Alligator mississippiensis: one gene and its partner. The protein of the gene in region 2 purifies or fractionates together with the protein of the main gene of each other region. This does not show direct contact. Links are inferred from orthologs where the notes say so. Each region holds a gene or a part of one and is shown on either strand. Other genes may lie near its edges.

Evidence for each region.
Region 1: the proteins of DACH1 (region 2) and JUN purify together in Homo sapiens (affinity purification with western blotting; 3 studies listed by BioGRID and IntAct, with this or other methods). This does not show direct contact. The link is inferred for Alligator mississippiensis from reciprocal best matches to the Homo sapiens genes DACH1 and JUN.

The regions. Positions count from the first base shown.
Region 1 is NC_081828.1:13,376,417-13,386,087, forward strand, and holds JUN (transcription factor Jun), read right to left. Parts: upstream 2,740-9,671; 5' UTR 2,739-2,739; coding exon 1,776-2,738; 3' UTR 1,748-1,775; downstream 1-1,747. UniProt on the Homo sapiens protein: Transcription factor that recognizes and binds to the AP-1 consensus motif 5'-TGA[GC]TCA-3'.
Region 2 is NC_081824.1:390,805,457-390,816,043, reverse strand, and holds the start of DACH1 (dachshund homolog 1), read right to left. Parts: upstream 4,657-10,587; 5' UTR 4,088-4,656; coding exon 3,357-4,087; intron 1-3,356. UniProt on the Homo sapiens protein: Transcription factor that is involved in regulation of organogenesis. Seems to be a regulator of SIX1, SIX6 and probably SIX5.

The DNA of each region.
Region 1 (9,671 bases), on a different chromosome or scaffold from region 2:
GTGTTTTCTTACAAGTATTATAACTTTAAAAAGAGGAGACTTTTAAGACTGACTAAACAGAATTATAAAGTAATGTATTAATGATTTTTTATTCTGCCTCTCCCCCCACAGCATCTGTTACCTCTTAGCTATATGGCTCCAACCCCCTCCAAATAATTTTAGCAATACAATCTGTTTTATATAAATGTAATTGGACACAGAATCAGTATGTTGAAAATAGTGACTGATAAATATTACTATTTTCCACAAGCATGCGTGGTTTTTTTCTTCAGAACTATTAAGTACCTTGTTTCTCAGTTGTTGCTTATGGTCTTAGTCTATAAATTATTGTACATGCACACTGACAATGACAGGGAAGCTGTTGTCATAATAATGTCTTTTTTGAAAAAGAAGAATCCTCCCTAGATGCTTTGCTTTTTATTTACACCCTGATTTTCAGTGTAGAAATAAAAGGTTTCCTCACTGTTAGCTTTACCCACTTTTCATATGGATAAATAAGTATACAATCAAAAACATCTGAAAGGGAAAGGAAGTAGAGATAGGGAAAGGGTTATAGAATGATTTTATTGTGACAACAGCATTGTCATAAATACTTATGAACAGAGATCACCTTTTATCTAGGAATAGTTAGACAAAAAAAAAAATGAGGTGATGAGTTCCATGTGAAGGATACATTTTTTTTAAATCTCCTATTTTAAATATGTTGTTGAGGACACTAGTTTACTAAGAAGCATCTAACATTAAATAGCCAGTTACAGTTCACACTATTTCAGCACAGGACAGTTCGATACAACAGCAGATTCCTCCAACCTGCTTAATTTTTTTAAGTGTACTGTCCAAACTGCTACTGGATTATGGTAGCCAATCCAGACCACATAAAGGCAATAAATAAAGATGCAAAAACCACATCTGTTTACACTACAGCATTGGTTTTGTATCCCCACTTTGACACATTCCTCAGATGTCTGTTGTTATAGAGTAAGTTTAACATCAGTCTTACCCACTTAGAGTTTGGGATACAGGATACTAGTCCTGATCTAGGTACTGGGGAAGGGGAGAAGGGAGGGGAAATGCATTTTTAAAAACAAGTTCTTAAAATATAAACAGAACTTTTCTGGGATTCTTTTCCAGAAGCAAAAAGCATAAAAGAAAATTATACTTTTATTACAAACTGCAAACTCAGGGTGCTTGGGGAGGAAACACTGTCTTATTTACAAAACAGTACCAGGCAGACCCCAAATAAACAACATAAAAATAACTTACAAAGTCATGAAGTAGTTTATTGACATTAATCAGCTTTCATAAAATAATAATAATAAAAAAAAGATATGTACATACACAAATTTAAGTGAAGGCAGGCAGTATAGTTCATTTTTTTTTTTCCTTATGAGCCTCCCACAAGCCTCCCTCCCACTTTTTTTTTTTTTCCTTTAAAGAGAGTACTACAGAAAGCAAACTACAGTCTCTATTGCAGTTTAACCTTTAATACTGAATGATCATCGAATGTTAGGTCCATGCAGGTCTTGGTCAGTGTTAAAACAAGAGATCTGAAGTCTCCTCGGAGCAGGCACAGCACTTCTCAGAGCGGTGCTGCTGGCTGCTTCACCCACTCGCTCGGACTGAAGGCTTGCCAGTCTTTCCACACATGCGCTTGGCGGGGCGCAGGCAGGACTCAATGCCTTTCAGCTTTTACCATTAGCTTTACGTGTCTGCCACTTCTGGGGGGTTTGTTTGCTCTACCACAACCTCATTAGTTCTGACTCGAGTCAATCTCTTCAAAACGTTTGCAACTGTTGTGTGAGCATGAGCTGGCACCCACTGTTGACATGGTTCATGACCTTCTGCTTAAGCTGTGCAACCTGTTCTCTGAGCATGTTGGCAGTGGATGCCAGTTCTGAGTTCTGGGCTTTCAAAGTTTTCACTTTTTCTTCCAATCTGGCAATCCTTTCCAGCTTCCTTTTCCGGCACTTGGAGGCGGCGATTCGATTTCTCATGCGCTTCCTTTCAGCCTTGATCCTCTCCTGAGACTCCATGTCAATGGGGGACAGCGGAGGAGTCTCCCCCGGCATTTCAGGGACAGTCTGAGGCTCTTCTTTCAACGCCTGGAGCCTGGGATGCTGCACCGGCATCTGGGGGTTCATGTGATGCTGTGGTGGCGGCGGTGGTGGCGGCGGGTAGCCCATGCTGCCCGGCGTGTAGCCGGGGGCCGAGGTGAGGGCGTTGGGGTTGAAGTTGCTGAGGTTGGCGTACACCGGCGGCTCGCTGTGCAAACTGGCATTGAACCCGCTGTTGCCGGCCATGGAGGAGACAGGTGCCATGCCGCCGCCGCCAGGTTGGGCGGCCGAGGTGACGCTGGGCACCGTGTTCTGGTTGTGCAGCTCGGCCAGCGCCCGCACGAAGCCCTCGGCGAAGCCCTCCTGCTCGTCCGTCACGTTTTTGGGGCAGAGGAACTGGGTGGGGGTCGGCGTGGTGGTGATGAGCCCGTTGCTGGACTGGATGATGAGGCGCTCCAGCTCGGGCGAGGCCAGCTTGAGCAGCCCCACGTCGGGCGAGGTGAGCAGGTCGGCGCTCTTGTTCCTCAGGTGCGGCTTCAGGGCGCTGGCGGGGTCGGCCAGGTTCAGGGTCATGCTCTGCTTCAGCGCCTTGGGGTTGTTGTATCCGTAGCCACCGCTCTCGGGCGGCGCGAAGGCGGCGTTCAGGGCATCCTCGTAGAAGGTAGGCTCCATCTTTGCAGTCATAGAACAGGGGGCCAAGGGCGGGCGGGCCGGCACCGGGCAGCCGGGGGGCGCGGGCCGGCCCTGGCCTCTCCCCTGCGGGCAGGAGCCCGAGTCCCGCTGCGCTGCGCTGCGCTGCGCCGCCGCCGCCTCCTCCTCCTCCGGCTGCTGCTCGCGTGTGTCCCGAGACGCCGCAGGCCGAGCCGAGCCGAGCCGGGCGCAGGGGGCAGCGCTGGCGGCCGCGCGTCTGAGCCCTTTCGCCGCGTGCAGCCCGACACTTATCAGCGACCAGTAACCCCCTAAAAATAGCCCATGATGTCACCCCGCGGCCTCCCCATTGGCTGCGGCCGCCGGGGGAGGGGGCGGGGCGGGCCGGTTGCCTACGAGCCCGTCTCCATGGCCACCCCGCCCCTCGAAGCTTCTCCTCCCGCGCGCGGGGCAAGCCGGGATGAGGTAATGCGGACCAGGTCGGCGCGGCGCATTGTGGGCTGACGTATTGTTTTCGAATCTCCGGTTGCCCGCTGAAGAGGCGCCCGAAGGGGGCGGGGCTTCCTTCGGAGGTAGATACCAAGCGGGGCGGAGGGGAGGGGGGGCACGGGGGTGACGCGGGGGATGATGGACTCTTCCCTACTCCCCCCCCCGCCTGGATGTATGGGACGGGCCGGGGGTTCCCGCGGAGGGGGTGGGGAGCGCGGTTGTCACGTGATTTCCCCCCTCCCCCCTGCTGCCGGGCAGGGTCGGGGGCGCCGCGGGAACAGTGCGGGAGGGGGCTGTCTGCTATCCCCGTGCACCCTCGTGTGCAACACCCTGGCACTGCTTCCCGTGCACCCCGTGTGCAACACCCCCGCACTGCTTCCCGTGCACCCCTTGTGCAACATCCCCCTGCACTGCTCTCTGTGCACCCAAGTGTGCAACACCCCCGTACATTACTTCCTGTGATCCCTTTGTGTAACACCCCCCGCATTGCTCCCTGTGCACCCCTGTGTGTAACACCCCTGTGCATGACACCCCCACATGCTGCTCCCTGTGCACCCCCATGTGTAACACCCCCCTGCACCATTCCCCATGCACCCCTGTGTGTAACCCCCTGTGCAGCCCTGTGCGTAACACCCCCTGCACCACTCCCTGTGCACACCCATGCGCAACACCCCGCATACAGCTCCCCGTGCACCCCCGTGTGTAACACCCCTGTACTGCTCCCTGTGCACCTACTGTGTGTAACACCCCCCGCACCACTCCCTGTGCACCCCCACGTGCAACACCCCCCCCACACCACTCCCTATGCCCCCCCCCCGGCACCGCTCCCCCATGTGTAACACACCCCGCTCTTGGCTCGCTGTCGCACTCCCTCAGCGCCCTCCCGCATTTAGGCTTGAAAGTACAGTTCAGGGCCTCGCCACGCCAGGGGTGGCTAAATCGGAATAAAAAGCAAAAAAAAACCCCTGGATTTTTTCTGTTGGCAAATGACAAAAATACACGCGCCCATGGCTCCACGTGGTTTTATTCATCTATGGATGCGTTCCTCGTGTATTCAAATGTTTTGAGTTTGTAAATTGGGGCGGAAATAAGGAAAATCCAGTTTTTTGTGGATTGTTTTTGTCTGACGGGGCCTGCTAACAGGGACGGTTATAATCGTGTCATGATCCCGCGTGGCCTTGGGCGGGGTGACGTCAAGAACCAGCCCCTGGCGGCGTTCGGGGTCAAGAACCAGCCCCTGGCGGCGTGCGGGGAAGGGGACGCGGGTCGGTCCCATGTGCGGCTCTCCTCCGCTGCCACCTTTCGGTGCCGCTCTCTGGCCATCGTAGAGGACAGTCCAGTTGTCCTCTATTGATATGAAACCGGACGCCTTTATGTCCTCTGTTTTTTCTCCAAGAAAAACATCAGATGAGAACAAGAGAGGACATAAAGGCATCGGGTCTTCTCAAAGAGAAAAAGAGAGGACATTAAGGCGTCGGGTTTCGGACCGATAGAGGACAGTGTAGCAGAAAAGCGGACTGTCCTCTATGATGGCCACCCTCGCCCCCGCATGGGCCTGTTGGACGCATGACGGGATGGCGGGTCTTGCTCTGGCAGAGCGACGGGGAAGTGCTCCAAGGGGGGTGCTGAGCAGAGCACACCAGACAGCATCGGCTGGCCCTCGAGCCACTGTGACAGGATGCTGGACTGGACGGACCTAAGGTCTGACCCAATAAATAGCAGTTATGTTGAGCCTTTAAAGGTTCTGGCAGTGCCCCCACAGCCAGGGCTGGATGAACCCTTTTGTAAGCCCGAGGCAAACAAGCTCATGGACCCCGGGGCTGGTCAAGACCCCTCTCCCCACCCTGGTGCTGCTGCCTGCGGGGAGCAGGGCTCAGAGCGGCCTCTAGGAAGCAGCTGCCGCAGTGGCGAGGCTGGCGGAGGGAAGGGGAAGTGAAGGGAAGGGAGGCGGACAGGGCCCTAGGGATGTGCCTAGTTTGCTTATGCATGAATCCAGCCCTGCCCAAAGCTTATAGGTGGCGGAAGGCTGGGGCTTAGCCCCCCCAAACTAATTTTGCAGCAGCCAGCGACAGCACCAGCACCACGGCACTGCTGTCCCACAGCACCCGGCGCTGCTCCTCCAGCACCGCGTACAGCACCAGCACACACCGGGTCTGCAATAAACCTGCAGGGGCGTGGGTCAGCCCCCCCACAATAATATTTATTCAGCTCCCCACAATAATATTTTTCCTGCCACCAGCACCACAGCCTGGTTGAAATCTCTGGTTTAAAAGCAGCAGATTCACTAAGTTGAGTCCAATACTCTTGATGCTGTGTTGCAACTGCATTGGTTCGGTATAAAGAAAATGCGCAGTCCTTCAAAGCAGCTTACGGGGCGAAGTTTCAGGCTCACTCTTGTACCTGTGAGCTGCCCTGTGGAGGTGAGATGTGTATGATGTAGGCATCATGTTGTGGTATGTTAAGGAAGGTATTATGGACTGGATAGTGATGTGTTTGAATATATTCTGATGTCCAACATTGGATCAGACTTTCAGGAATGCACGATTTAAGCAGGAAAACAGAGCCCAGTGTCATGGTGGAAGCTACTAAGCCACAGAGGTTGGAGGCAAGCCTTTTCGGTGAGCATGTCACAAATTAGCCCTCAACAGCCCCAGGTGCCACTCCTCTGCCTCATCTCATCTGCTGTTCTGCTTTCTCCTTCCTGACCTATCTGCTGCTGTGGTACCTGCCCCCTCTCACACCCACAGGTGACCCGTGTCATTTGTTGCGTGCACATGTTGGTCAACAGGAAAAGGAAAAGACAAAGGAAAAGAGCTAGGAAAGGTGGGAGAGTCACAGCAAGGAGCCTGGTATACCAGTCACCTGGCTCCAGTATATCTGAGAATGGGCTGAAGGAAAACAAGGATGGTAGAAGAAGGTTTTGTGTTTTGCAAACAGTCAGAGAGGCTTATATACAAGTCAGGGGCTAGATCTGATCAATTTCTGGAGCTCAGAAGAAGATGTAATGAGAAATCTAAGGGGATTAAACAGGGGTCCTTGGGAGTGTGAGTTAGTCTGTTGACTGGGACAGCAAGGAAGTCCTTCTCTAGCCTGGTTGTAAGTACAGGCAGTCCTCAGACTTACAATACAATTGGTTCCTGAAAACCGCGTCTTAAGTCGTAACGTCGTAACTCAGAACCGATTTTCTCATAAGAAACAATGTTATAAATGGGGGATTGGTTCCTGAACCAAGGCCCGATACCCTATTTTCACCAAAAATACCCCAGAATTTTATACTCGATCAATTATAGTTGAGTAATATAGCTACATTAATGTATTTATAACGTAAATAGCAATCACATTGATTTGGAAGGACTTCTTTGAGGTGACTTTGCTGGACATTTTGAAGGGCTCTTGGTTGGACTGTTTGAAGGGTTCTTGGCTGGAGTCTTCTTAGCAGTCCTGGCTGCAGGTTTTTCTGGAGTCTTGTCTGTTTTCTTAAAGAAAGTGTCCAAGGAAGTTTGGACAGACGTTCTCCAGGGAGATGAGCGACGCAGCAAACTTGTTCGCTGGTGTGGCGTCACATCAGTTCAAGCATTGTAAAGCCGAAACTGACATCAGAAAGTTGAAACAGGGTGTCAATTTATAAACGTTGTAAATGCAAAACGTTGTAACTCGAAACGTTGGAAGTCGAGGACTGCCTGTATTCAGATCGAGTGCTTGTAGCTGTAATTACTGTGTGAGTGAAGTCATTAATAACTGCTGCAACACTGCCATCTAATATACAGTTAGTTAGAAGGTTTGTCTAAAGTAACTGTATGACAGTTCTTGTGTTTGGGTTTGATAAAGGGATTTTAGCTCAATTACTGACATGGTCAATCAGATTCCAGCAGTTTGGTGTAATCGGGAGGATACCAGTCAGTAATCCTGAAAGCCTGTAGATGGAAGGATCATCATCTGTCTTTCTTAGGCAGCAAATAGTTCCTCTCCAGTAAACACAACAACTTACAGGACAACAGGGGTGGTACTGCACAGCAAAGAAATACTGGATGCTACTGGGAAAATGTTGGCATGTGATGGGTAATGCTTGAGAAATTTGAATGGGAACAATCCATGCAAAACTGGAGGAAACTTAGAGTTGCCATTCTGAGTAACCCCAAGTAGGAAAAGGCAGAAGTAAAAGCAATCATCCTTCAGGGCCTGCGTTTGGTACGTGGAGTGTACTACTACCCCAGGAGATGACTGTAAGAAGTATGAGAAATAACGTAAAGCTAATGAGGGAAAGATCAGCTTGAAGTTACACCTCCCTCCATGAGAGGATAGCGGAGTTGACATTTCTTGCATCTCGTGTAGGATTAGAAATTAGTGCCTGGGAAAAGAAGAAACTGAAGTTCAAGTTAAGGCTGAAGTGAGTAAGGTGAAGCATTGCAAAGTTGCCTTCGGTAAGCAGATCTGTGAGTTAAAGGAAAAGGTTAAATGTAACAGAAGGCAAGTTTTGAATTGAGGCAGTTGTGTTGCAACTTTTGTAATTTACAGAAAAGAGAAATGGCAAGGGAAAGTGAAATGATGTTTAAAGTGCAGTAGTGTTTTTCCCAAGCACGTTGGTAGAGGTAAAAGCTAAAGGTGTTTTAGAACAAACACAGTCAGGAAGAAAGTGCAGGGAACCAAAAGGGCAAAAAACAATGTGACAATGTGTACTGACTAAAAACAAAAATCAAGCGGATTGCTTTTCTTGAACTTACAGGAATCAAACGAATTAATAGAGTTAATAAAGCTGTGGATGTAAAACATGAAGATATGATTACTCTGAGTTATGTATTTTTTTGGTGACATTTTTGGAGATGCATGCATTAACTGCTTTTTCTCTTCTTGCAACAGTAAGATAAGTTTATGTAAAAAGCAAGACACCAGGGTTTTATAAGCTATTTTCTTTTGACCATGGTAGATCTGGTGGTTTTAATTTTGTTTCCATAATTTTCATCCTTTTGCTAACCCTGAAGCCTCACTTTGCTTTTCAGATTCCAGAAACAAGGTTGCATTCTAGCAAAGTGTAATTTAACAGTTCTTAGCCCTGGCTATGAAAAAGAAACGTCTTTTCTGTTACAGTTTAGATGTTTTTGTCCTAGTTCAGTGGTTATCAACTTTTTCTTTACAAATTGCAAAAAATTAAATTTACTGCAGTTGACAATGAGAGCTACTTGGCATGACTTAAAACGTTAAAATAACCTGTTAGCATTTTTAGCATTATTATGCGTGTGAAAATAAATGTATGTTGCAGCAAACAACACACACATGCAATATACATGTTACACAATGCAGTATGTTTAAAGGAAAGCACACTCAAAAGCCATGTTGTCAACCATTATATTTTTATCTGCCAAAAAATCATGACAATTATTTTAAGCCCTTTTGTAAAAAAAAAGAAACAGTAAAAAATGCTTGAGTCTTTCCATTTTAAGTTAAACTAGGACAGCGATTCTCAACCAAGTTGCCCAGGCACCTTGGGGTTCTGTGGGATCCTTTTATGGGTGCCATGGGGTGCTGTGCAATAGTAGCCCTGTTAAGATGTGCAAACATCTAAATGCGATTCACCAGATTAAACCCAGAGATTTTAAGTAAGATTCCACAGTGTCAAAGGCATTTTGATCTGTTGTGGTCTTTCTGAATTCTTGCAACAGAAAATATTCTCTTTTGTTTTCTGTAATCAAGAAATGAATGAAAGCAAAATGCTGGCATTTGTCAACGGCTGCTTTGAGTGTAAAAAGGTTGAGAACCTAAGAAATATCAACATCAATGTCAACATGCAGCAACGACATTACTTACCACGTCTTGACTAATCAGAAGATCCACCGCCATTATTAAAATTGAGGCATGTACTCCTTGGCTGCGTATCCATGGTGGGTACATGTACCTCTGTTTGAAAACCACTGCCTTAGACAAAGGAAGAAGCTACTAAAGATGATAGACAATAGCAAAAAAGATTGGCATGTCACAGTCACCTGGCTCCACTATACCTAAAAAGGTACTAAAGGAAAACAAGGACCGCAGAAGAAAGTTTTGTGTTTTGGGAACACGTGTATGGATGTTGGGGTCTAGATCTAATTTGTTTCTGGAACTCAGAAGAAGATGTAATGACTAACCTAAGGGGATAATACATAGCCAGAGAGAGGGTTTGGTTTCTTGTTAACATAAGCGAATCATCTGAATGGGACAACTAGGATGTGCTACACTAGCTCAGTTGTAAGTATTCTGATTAAATGCTTGTCCCTTTACTTGCAGTCATTAATGCTGTAAATGCCATGTAATATACAGTTAGTATTTGTTACCATATTTTAGAAAGTACAAAATAACTGTATAACAGTTCTTGGACTTTTGGGTTCAGTAAAGGAATTTTAGCTGAATTACTGATGTGGTTAATTCAGTTCTAACTATGTAGTCAAGATATGCCTATGTTCCGAGAAACGTAATGCCTTTGTATCTCACATCTAGAATCCCAAATCC
Region 2 (10,587 bases):
GCCTGATCCAAAGCCCAGTTCAGTGAATGGAAAGATTGCATGAGGAATGGCAAAATTCCACGACAAGAACTCAGGAACACAAGAGACTAGGAAACAATCATGAGGGTAGGTACCAGGTCGTTAATCCTATGCAGTTAACATTCAATGGATAGTATGCTATGCTTTGTTTCTTAAATAACTGATGTAAGCTGACTAATTTTGGCTTGACAACCTAAAATATTTTCAAGGTTTTTGCCTTTACACCTCTCGTTTTGCTTGGCAGCAGGCTTTCTATCATCTCTCCAAAGATTCTCATCCATGCCAATCCCGCTTCATCATAGTTTTGTATAAAGTCCTGATAGCTATTTCTGGAATTTATGTTTGGTGACTAGCGCTTTCTGTGGAGAAGACATAAGCAAAGGTCAGGATGAATGGGAAAAAAGAATTGCCTTCCACACCGGAAAACTATTTGCCAGTGATTTAGGGACCCTATTTAGAAAAAGGTTCTTTGAATACTATTGTTCTTATTATTATTAGGATCACAGATAAAAACAGAAACCAATTCACTTTGCAAACTGACTTGTAAGTTAAGTATTCAAGAGAAAATTCCCTGATGTTTTATTGATTTGTTTTATTGATTTTTAAGTATAGCAATATTGCACTTAAAATTAACCATATTGCTGAAAACAGGCACTTGAAAAACTTTTCAAATCTTGAGGCTTCAGTTTAAGACTTAAGGTAAAAGCTTGTAAATATGAAATATCTTTTCAACCAGATAGGTGCAAAATTTAAAAAGTCAAGTTCATTTAAATATGTTGTTATAAGTATTTGTCATCACAACAGATGCCTAACAAAAGCGTTTAGATTAATCAAATGAGATTTTACACAAGACAAATGAATAGCTTTGTTGAAATCCACATCTGATTGAATAATGTATTAACCTTGACTAAGTTGTAAGCATCATCTAAAAAAAAGGATCAGAGTGGTACTCAAGTGTGTCAAATGACTGTGATACAAATATAGCGGTGATAAGATATTTTAGATGGTGTGGATGTAATATTTTATATACTGGAATGGAGTTTGTTCTTATATTTTCAATCACAATAATAAGTAAAATATCAGATAAAGAACAGAGTAACTGTTGTCTTATAAAAGGAAATTTAAATTACTAGATCCATTATTTCAAAATTTTTACAAAATTGCATTAAAGTTACAAGTAGTTAAAACCAAGCCAGAGTAAGTCATACACAAGAAAAAAGATTAGAAAGTAAATAGAGTTGTATGTACTAATGGTGAAATCCACGTTACCAAAACTCACCGAACTACTCTGCTTCACTCATATATAATGTAAAAATACGGGGTGCATAGATACCATAAACTCTTCCCATTATTTTCCTGGGGGTCATATCCTGCTTGCCGTGTGTGTGTGTGTGTGTGTGTGTGTGTGTGTGTGTGTGTGTACACATACACACACACACACACACACACACACACTGTAATTTCTACCATGTCAGATTACAGCACAACTATCTCCTGAGGCTGTTGAAGCACAGTCAGTTTTGCAGTGCTGGTGTGCTGTGACCCTGGTTTTAATCATGTTCCCAAATCATGTTACAACCTAACAAATGTACACAGGTTTCCCCTCAGAGCTAGGCTATCCTGTTTTTTAATGCTGTGTATTCTTTAGTATATATATGCACCCATACAAATGTAATCCCAGCAGTATGTTACTCATTTTTCAAACTCTTCTTGATTCCACCACCAACCAAGATCTCTCTAGCTCCCAAAAGGTTTCCAAAGTAGTTACTTAAGTTCCTCTAGAGCAAGTTGCCTTCTTGTCCCCCTAAATATTCAGATGCTTCAATAATCAATCTACAACTAAAGACCATGGAGAAAGTGTTTTCCTTTGCCTTGACCTGGGCTAATGAATCCAACTCCCCCCAGCTAATTCAGAGAGTCACACCCAGACACTGCACAACAAAATGAACAATTCTCCACGTGCTGCTCTTGCTGCACTTTAAGCAGCCGTCATAATAATAATAGTAATAATACAGTAATAGTAGTAATAATAATAGAAAGTGAAATCAACCCAAGTGATTAGGTGGAAGAGATGATTTGCTGTTACAGAAAAAAAAATTCTTGGCACAGACTAAAGTCTCTTTATTGGTCAAGCTGAGCCACTGTAGAAAGTTTCCCACCAAGGCCTGGAGTCTTGGTGTCTTTCTGGGTTAATGTCAGACTGGTCATTCTTTCATATAGATCTCCCTGCCTGCCCAATGTAGACAGCAGAGGAGCACTGTAAGCAGGTGACAGTGTATTTAAAGCTGCTTAAAGCCAGAACCCCCCTCCACCTCCACTACCACCACCCAAGGACCTGGCTGAAGTGAAGACACTGGGGACCCCTCTGCAATTTATAGGGGGCACCTGATGTCCCCCTTCCCTTGGCCAGACAGATGCAACCCGGGCACTGACCGATTTGGGGATAATAGCCCTAACCCTCCCCACTTCACGCTGCACTTTTGAAGCAAGCTATGCTTGAAGAAGGGTGGTTGTGCCCGAAAGCTTGCAAAGAGCAATTTTTCCAACTCGAGCTGGTCTAATCAAAGATATCGTATCTTCTCAAAGAACCTTGTCTGCCTCTGGTATTTCAACAGGAATTTCCTCTTTTATCAGGTCCCCCCCCCCCCCTGCCCCCAGCATGGCTAACTGTGCCAATTTTAGGCCGGCTGCCTTTGTCTGGCTCTCTCAGTTGTTGGGGGGGGGGGGGAGGGGGAGGGTGCCCTGCTCTGCTCTCTCCCCAGTGCCCACAAATCCTGCCCCTCCATCACCTCCTGGTTGTCCCCCCACTCCATACTGCTCCCCACTCCAAACAGTGTGTGACCCCCTGAGCACACAGAGGCAGTGTGTGTGGGGGGGGGGGGGAGTCCCACGTGTAGACACGGGGCAGCTCAGTGGCAGTAGGGTGGCAGTGGGGGCGGGGGGGAAGCTTCCCGCTGCCCGCATGGGAGTCCCCACCCCGCCTCGCCCGCTGTCTGCCCGGCTCTGGAGGCGGGGAGGGGGCGAGCGCACGCCGCCCAGGGCGGGGAGGGGACACACAGGCTCCACTTGCTCAGTGACACCGGGAAGAGGCGCGGCGATGGCCCGGGCTGCATGTGCGAGGCTGGGATGGAGCCGGGATGGGGGGGGCTCAGCGTGGCTCCGTGTGTGCGTGTGCATGTGTGCATGTGTGTGCATGTGTATAGGTGCGGGTGTACATGGCTGTGAGCGTGCATAGTGTGTGAGTGTGCATGGGTATGCATATGCATGGGTGCGCGTGTGCAGGGGTGCGGGTGTGCAAGGGTGCGGGTGCGTGTGCGCGCGCGCGCCTCGCCTTTTACCTCGCGTTGGTGCAGTCGTTGTAGAGGGTCTCGAAATCCTTCCTGGAGATGAGTTTGCAGCGGTTGACGCCGGGCTGGATGGCCCCCAGCCCCCGCAGGATGCGGACCTGCTCCACGTTGCACACCACGGGCGTGATCTCCAGCCGCTTCAGCTTGGTGTAGACCGTGTGCAAGCCCCCGACCAAGTGCTTGAGGAAGAGGTCGAAAGCCTGGGGCAGGCAGATGAGCTCGCAGCCCTCCACGGTGAAGGAGGCCACCTTGGCCCCCCTCAGATCCACCATCTTGCACTCATTATTCTGGGGGGTGTTCTCCACCGGGGACGGGGTGGAGTACACGGGCTTGCCGGGCAGGCTGCCCCCGGCGCTGGGCGCGCTGGCGCTGGGGGCGGCGGGGCCGGGGCCGCCGGCGGTGCCCGCGCTGGGGCTGCAGCTGCTGCTGCCGCCGCCGCCTCCGCCGCCGCCGGTGCTGCCGCTGCCGCTGCCGCCGCCGCCTCCTCCGCTGCCCGCGCTGGCGGCGGCGGTGCTGGAGGTGCCCGCGGCCGCCGCGGCTCCGAGGGGCTCCGGCCGGAACACGCTGGTCCCCGACGCGGCTGGCGGGGGAGCCACGGACGGAGACGGCGACGAGGTGGCCGACGACGTGGTGGTGGTGGTGGTGCAGGCGGCAGAAGTGGAGATCGGAGGCTGCGGGGGGACCAGCTGGGTCGGCGGGATCAAGGCAGCCGGGACGGCCATGGTCACATATACGGAGCCGGGGTAGGGCGGGGGGGGAGCACAAAGTTGCCACACACACGAGAGAAAGAAAGCAAGAAAGAGAGAGAAGGGAAGGGGTGGGGGGGGGGGGCGGGGAGGGAGAAGGGCTGGGGGGGGAGAGGGACCCCCAAGCCCGGAGAGCAGAGGGCAGCGAGAGAGAGGGGAAGAGGCGCACAAAGTGTCCCGCCAGCGAGGAGGAGAAGTCCGCTCCCGGGGCTGGGGTGCAGGGGAGAAGAGAGGGAGGTGGGGAGGGCAGTTTGTTTTTGTGGTCCTTTTGGCTCTAGCACCGCGTGAAAGAGGAAGGTGGGAAGGAGGAGGCTGGAAGGACTTCGGTTCTCTCTGGCGAGCACATTGATCAAAGATTGAGAGGGGGAAATGACAGAGAGAAAATGAGCTGGGGAAAAAAAAAGTGCTGGCTTGCTGCTGCCGCTCGCTGCTCGCTCGCTCGCTCTCTGGACGAGTTGTTGTTGTCACACGGTGCAGAGGGGAGGAGCTCCGGCAACTTGAAATACCCTTTGAAGCAGCAAAAGCCTCACTCACTAGTATTAACCCAAATTATCCAACCAGCAACCCGGAGCAAAGAATCAGAGAGAGAGAGAGAGAGAGAGAGCCCTCTTCCTCCTCCTCTTCATAAACCGTTAGATTACATGTTTCATATTTCATCTCATCAGAGACGAGATGCAATTTTCCAAGCCCTTCCAAACAATCGCTTGTCAACACCATTAAAAAAAAAATGTATATAAAGAACATTTCAAGCCTTTCTTTAAAAAAAGAGAGAGATAGAGAGAGATTAAACTGCGTCTCTTTCAGGGCATGAAAGGTGGCGGGGGCGCAGAGGAAACTTTGCTTGGTCACCCATCTCCCACCGGGTGGGAGAGGAGCAGATCCACTTGCAAACAAAGCTCAGATCGTGTGTTGGTCTGATTTAGTTAGTTGTGCGTGCATGTCTTTCTTTTTCTTTGAGATAGTTAGTTAGTTACGTGTGCATGTATTTATTTTTCTTTGATTTAGGTAGTGAGTTATCTGTGCATTTATCTATTTTTCTTTGGTTGAGTTAGTTTTGCGCGCATTTCTGTATTTATTATTATTTATTTATTTATCAGCTATTATTTATTTATTTATTTATTTTGAGCCCCCCCAGGCAACAAACAATGCCAAATTGGCAGGGCTGGGCGGTTAACAGCAAGAGCCGGCCTCGTTTTATCGCCAGATCTCTTTGTTTGTGCGGACAAGTTGTAATTGCCTGGAGCGCCAAGCACTCCAGAAGAAAAAGCCCAACTCAAGCGACTCCCGAGGACTTCCTGGCGAGACCGGGCAGTGGCGGAGCAAAGCGCGCCGGGCACCGTGCGGGGCGTGCGGGGCTAAAGCGGGCCGGTGCCCAGCTGGGATGGGGCAAGGGCAAGGGCACGCTCGCACCTTTTGTCTCCGGGAACTTTTTTGATCACGGGTCTTTCTCACTTTGTGCTTGCGTGTCTTTCGAGTGCATAAAAGACCATTCCCATTCTCGCATGATTTTTGTTTTCTCATCCATATATATATATATATATATATATATATATATATATATATATATAGCTCTGCATGTTTGGCTAAAATGGGGCAGCTGCGTTCATTAGAGCAAGGCTGAAGGAACTTGCCATGTTAGAGAGCTGCAGCTGAGTGCTTACTCCCACCCTGTTGTGTCTAGGTATTGCAGCGGCCGGTGAACAACAGGTGACTCTATAGCACCGATCCAACTTTGATGTGTAATAACCAGGTATCAGTGTACAATTAGCTCTTGCGCTTGCTCACACATGCGCAGTCACTAAATTGACAGGCTGTGCAATCCGGCACACATTTGAATATCCAGGCCCCATTTATGTCCTAATACCTAACCACGATGAGGTTTAAGGGTGGAGGTTTAGCTTGAGCTCGGAAATTTCCCTTTTTGATTGAAAGTTTGGCAGTGTTGGGGAGGGGGGTTCCCTCTCCGTTTATTTTGATGACCTTTCTGTGTTTAAAATAACCTTTCATAGAAATGCAACGTTAGACTGGGCATATAAGCATCTAAGCTTCATATAGCTGCATATAAAGCTTAGATCGTCATATAAAGCTTAGATCCGGAATGTACTCTCCAAATTATAACAACTTGTCCCTCAGCCTGTTTTAGAAAGAGTGTACTATTTATATGAGACATGATTCATGGGGCTGCACATCTAGATGTGTGATAAGAATCTTAATTAAAGTAATTCTGTACATGGGAAATTTCCACTTTTTTTCAGATTATCTCAAGCTATTCGCTTGCTCTTGCAACCTGCTTCCTCACACGTTAGATTGTTTTCAATCAAATGTTTTGAATTTTCAGTACCAATATCTCCCATTAGCGAATCTGTCATTTCCTCCAAAAACTCAATTGCACTAAAATGAGCAAAAGAACTTTTTCTAAAAAAAAAGAAGAAAAACAAGTGATTATCATATCAATGCTGGCACCTTGTCTTCTAACACTGGCACGGAGCAGTTCTTTTTAAATAGCAAAGCTAAGACAAAATCAACAGAAAATAAAACAGGGTGGGAGAAAAACTTTAAATACCTCGACAATTGCAAAAAAAGGTATCTTTTTTTTTTTTATCATTTTCACTTGCAAAAGACTTACTGCCCAGATTTATTGTCTTTTATTTCTCTGCTTCAGCTCGTCCTTCTGCATTGCACTCTGTCCTGCACACGACATATATTCATAAAACATACACTTGAGAAATTGAATGCAGAACCAAACATGTGTGGAGTTGCCATTCATTTCAAGTTTCAAATGAACTCGGGATTTCAAAAATAACCCAAACCTGCCAGATCCTGGGTTGTTTCTCTGCCCTACAATATGCTCCACGACTGTCCTTTTGGTTTTCTTCTGTGTGTTTTCATGGATCCGTAATCCGTCTGTTGCCAAACAGCTTGAAGAAAATGTAGTTTGAAAGGTTTTACTACCACAGGTTTAGGTTAACGGTGATGGTTTCAGGAAACAATGGGATTAGACACCGAGAAAGAAAGAGATGTCTGAAAGGTTCAAGGATCTTCAAAGCTTTTTGTCTGGTCGGATTGTAACAAACTCTAAGAATTGTAGCAAACTCCTGGATGTATTTTCACAGACAGACATACCTCCACTTCAACAAATAAGGACATTGCTCTCTTCCTCTTTTCAAACTTTTTTTCTTCCACGGTGCATTTTATTACTCATTGGCCCTTTCAAGTCATGATATTGTTACACGCTTCCTTTATTTTTCCCAGAATTTATATCAGCAAAACTCAAATTACTGTAACTGATATTTGAAAATTCTCCCTGTGTCAAGTGAAGACTTATGATGCTGAAATCAATAAGCCTGTTTAAAATTCAAAGACCTGCAAATCATTCTGTTTGTCCTTTGATAGGGCCTGGGCTGATTAAAATGCGACCAAGAAAGCTTAATTGCTGCACTAATTAAGAAGTCTTTAATTTCTTTCCTGGAATATTGTTTGAAGCAGAGCTTCTCTTGTACTCACATAACTGTTCAGGGCAGGTATTCTCCTCTTTTCCCTTTGACCATTTCAGGGAATATACTAAGGCACTAAGATGAATAGGTGGTTATGATTATTTATTACTTAAAAAAAACCCCACCTGCTACGGAGCTCACTGTTTTATTAAAGCCTAGTTTTGAGGGCAATTCTAAGGCATAAAAAGGAGTTAGAAAATGCATCGTAGCTGTTACCTCTTAAATACCTGACTGACGGGGTCAGTCCCCCTCCCTCCTGCCTTAGTTGTTATTGATATATAAATATTTAAATATAGCCGGGCGAACAGAAAATACTTTCTCCCCGGACTCTGTGTAAAGCGGATTGGGATGAAAGGGGTGGGGGCTGTGGGACAGGATGGTTTTTATGGCTGGGTGTGTATCGCAACATCCAGTTTATGAACTATCTGCATTTGCTCTGACTTTTATTTCCTTGAGAAATGCACTTCTCTATTCCAGCTCGTCTTATCCTAGTCTATTGACCTATTTTGTTCACCGATTTCTCAAGTGGGGAAACTTGACTAAATGATTTCACAAAGCTTTCTGGGTGATCAATAGTCATTTTTTAGGTTTAATCATGCTGCATTATAATTCTGGCAAACGACTGCCGAGCAGAAGACTCCGCAAAAGCAAGAGGTTATCGACAAAGGGAAGGCAAGTTTGGTTTTACATCTTGCAGGTCTCGCATAGTTTGTTTCAGCAGCTACCTGTTATTTCGCGGGGAGCAGGCACAGAGGGACACGTCCCCTCCGTGGAGGGACATGCAGTGTTACAGAAATGCACCATAATGGGGTCCTTCCCCTCCCCCCCCCCCACGAAGATATTTACTAAACATTGAAATACTTATTGAAAATAATAATGTGTGCATTTGAGATGGTTACAATAACAAGCAAATAGGTACTGCCGTGCTGGGTTGTTTTATTTTTCGTGATTGTTGCATTATAGCCAAATTAGCATGGACTTTCCCCAGTACAAATACATCCTGGATTCCTTGCAATGACAGGACGAGTAGATAACATACTTAATAGATACAAAGGGAGATTTGCCATTCCGAGCACGACGTCACGCTAATCATGCTTCCTCTAATTGAAAGCAAGGTTTGGGGGACTCTGAAATTGCTTTTAGGACCTTTTTTTTTAAAATAAGAAAATAATAAAAATAATGAAAGCGCGCCAAACGGGGATGGCAAACCTTTCAGGCTTTCGACATCTATTGGGAAAAAAATTAAATGAAAAGTGGAGTTTGGTACAAACAGTGCCTCGGGGCAAAACAAACAAACAAACAAAAAAACAAAAAACACTACAAAAACCCCAACTCACACTAGATTTTCCAGTCCAGCCACAACACAAATCAATTTGAGCACACTTCTATGGCCAGACTGCCAGATTGTTATGACTGCTAATTCACTCAATCAAACAGTGCATTAGCACACCCGGCACAAACAACTTCAACAATAGCATCCACTTGTGAGCAGTCCACAGTTAAACGTGGGAGCGCCGGGACAGGATCCTTGTTGCATGGCATGAGAATTGGACCTGAGCTAAGCGTTTAACCACTACGCCGTGTGTACATTACAGTGTAAAAAAAAAAAAAGAAAAGAAAAGAAAAGAAAAAAAGAAAAACCCTAAAAAAAACAAACCCCAAAACTTCAAAAGTCCTTTAAAATCACCGCAAAAGTTTTGCGTAAAGCACATAGTCTCCTGGGCTCTTTTTTAAAAAAAAATCACTCTCTCAGTTGGAGAGTGCAAAATAGCATCCAGCAGTTTATGGGAAATGGGTTGATGCCGGGCTGTATAGTTTGCCAACACGCCCTGCTCCCCCCCTCCAGTTTGGCTGGAGACCACAAGGACCGCATCTCCCGCGAGTGTAATCTCCCCGCGCCTCCCCGCTGTGTTAATCGCCTGCGTAAAAGGAGCAGGACGGAGCCCCCAGTGGGGATCTCCAGCGTCTTCCCTTCAGCCCCAGGAGCAAGGCGAGCGGGGTCTGCGGGGATGATGCTGAGCGATGCTCTGGCCAAGGGCAGGGCTGGCTGGGGTCCCGCTCCCCCACCTGCAAATGTCTGCAGACTGGGGAGGCTCCTTTCCCTGCTGTATTTACAAACGCTTGAAAATAAAAGCAGAAAGCACGCGCGCTGCCCCTAGCTGGGGGTGGGAGAGGTGCTCTTCCCAGTGCGGGGCTGGAAATCGCGGAGCTGGAGCTGGTTCCCGCGCCGGGAGGAAACCCGCTTCCTCGCTGGCCCCGCCGCTCCCCTGCCTGCAAGCCCAGGTGTTCAGTCCCCGACCAACAGGTAGGGCGGGCAAGCCCTGCAAGCACTGAGTGCCCCGGGCAGCCTGCCCCCTCCCAGCCCGGCACACTGCCCTCGGAGCCTCCACCGCGACGCCCCGGGTCAGAGGAACGGGCTGGCCCGATGCTTACTCGGCTTTCCCCACGTCTAAGCATCCCTCTGGCCAGTGAGTGAACCCCGCTCCACCCGACTCTAGGAGCCGGGCTCTGCTGCCGACCTCTTCTCCCACCCCTGCCAGGCTGTCCCTACTGTCCGGGCAGTCCGCGGTGGGGCGGGCTCTGTGCGGGGCAGCAAAGGTGCCCGCCAGCGCGCAGTGGGTGAAAGCAGGAGATCGCTTGCACCCTAATCTCCGCACCATCCACCCCACCTCCACTATCCACACCCTTACCACCACCTCCATACACATCCCCCCCCCATCCACAACCACACCGCCATCCACATCCCCCATTCACCCCGCGACCATCATCCACATCCCGCCCCCAGCATCCACATCCTCCCTCACCATCATCCTCCCCCCACAACCATCATCCACATCCTCCCCAACCACCATCCACCTCCCCAGCGGGCTTTACACTGGAGCTAAGAGCTTGCCACACACCAGTCCAGCTGAAGGCACTAAAACTGGTTAGTGAGCTGGGGCACAGGACTTCTGAGGAGCGGCTGAGGGATCTGGGCTTATT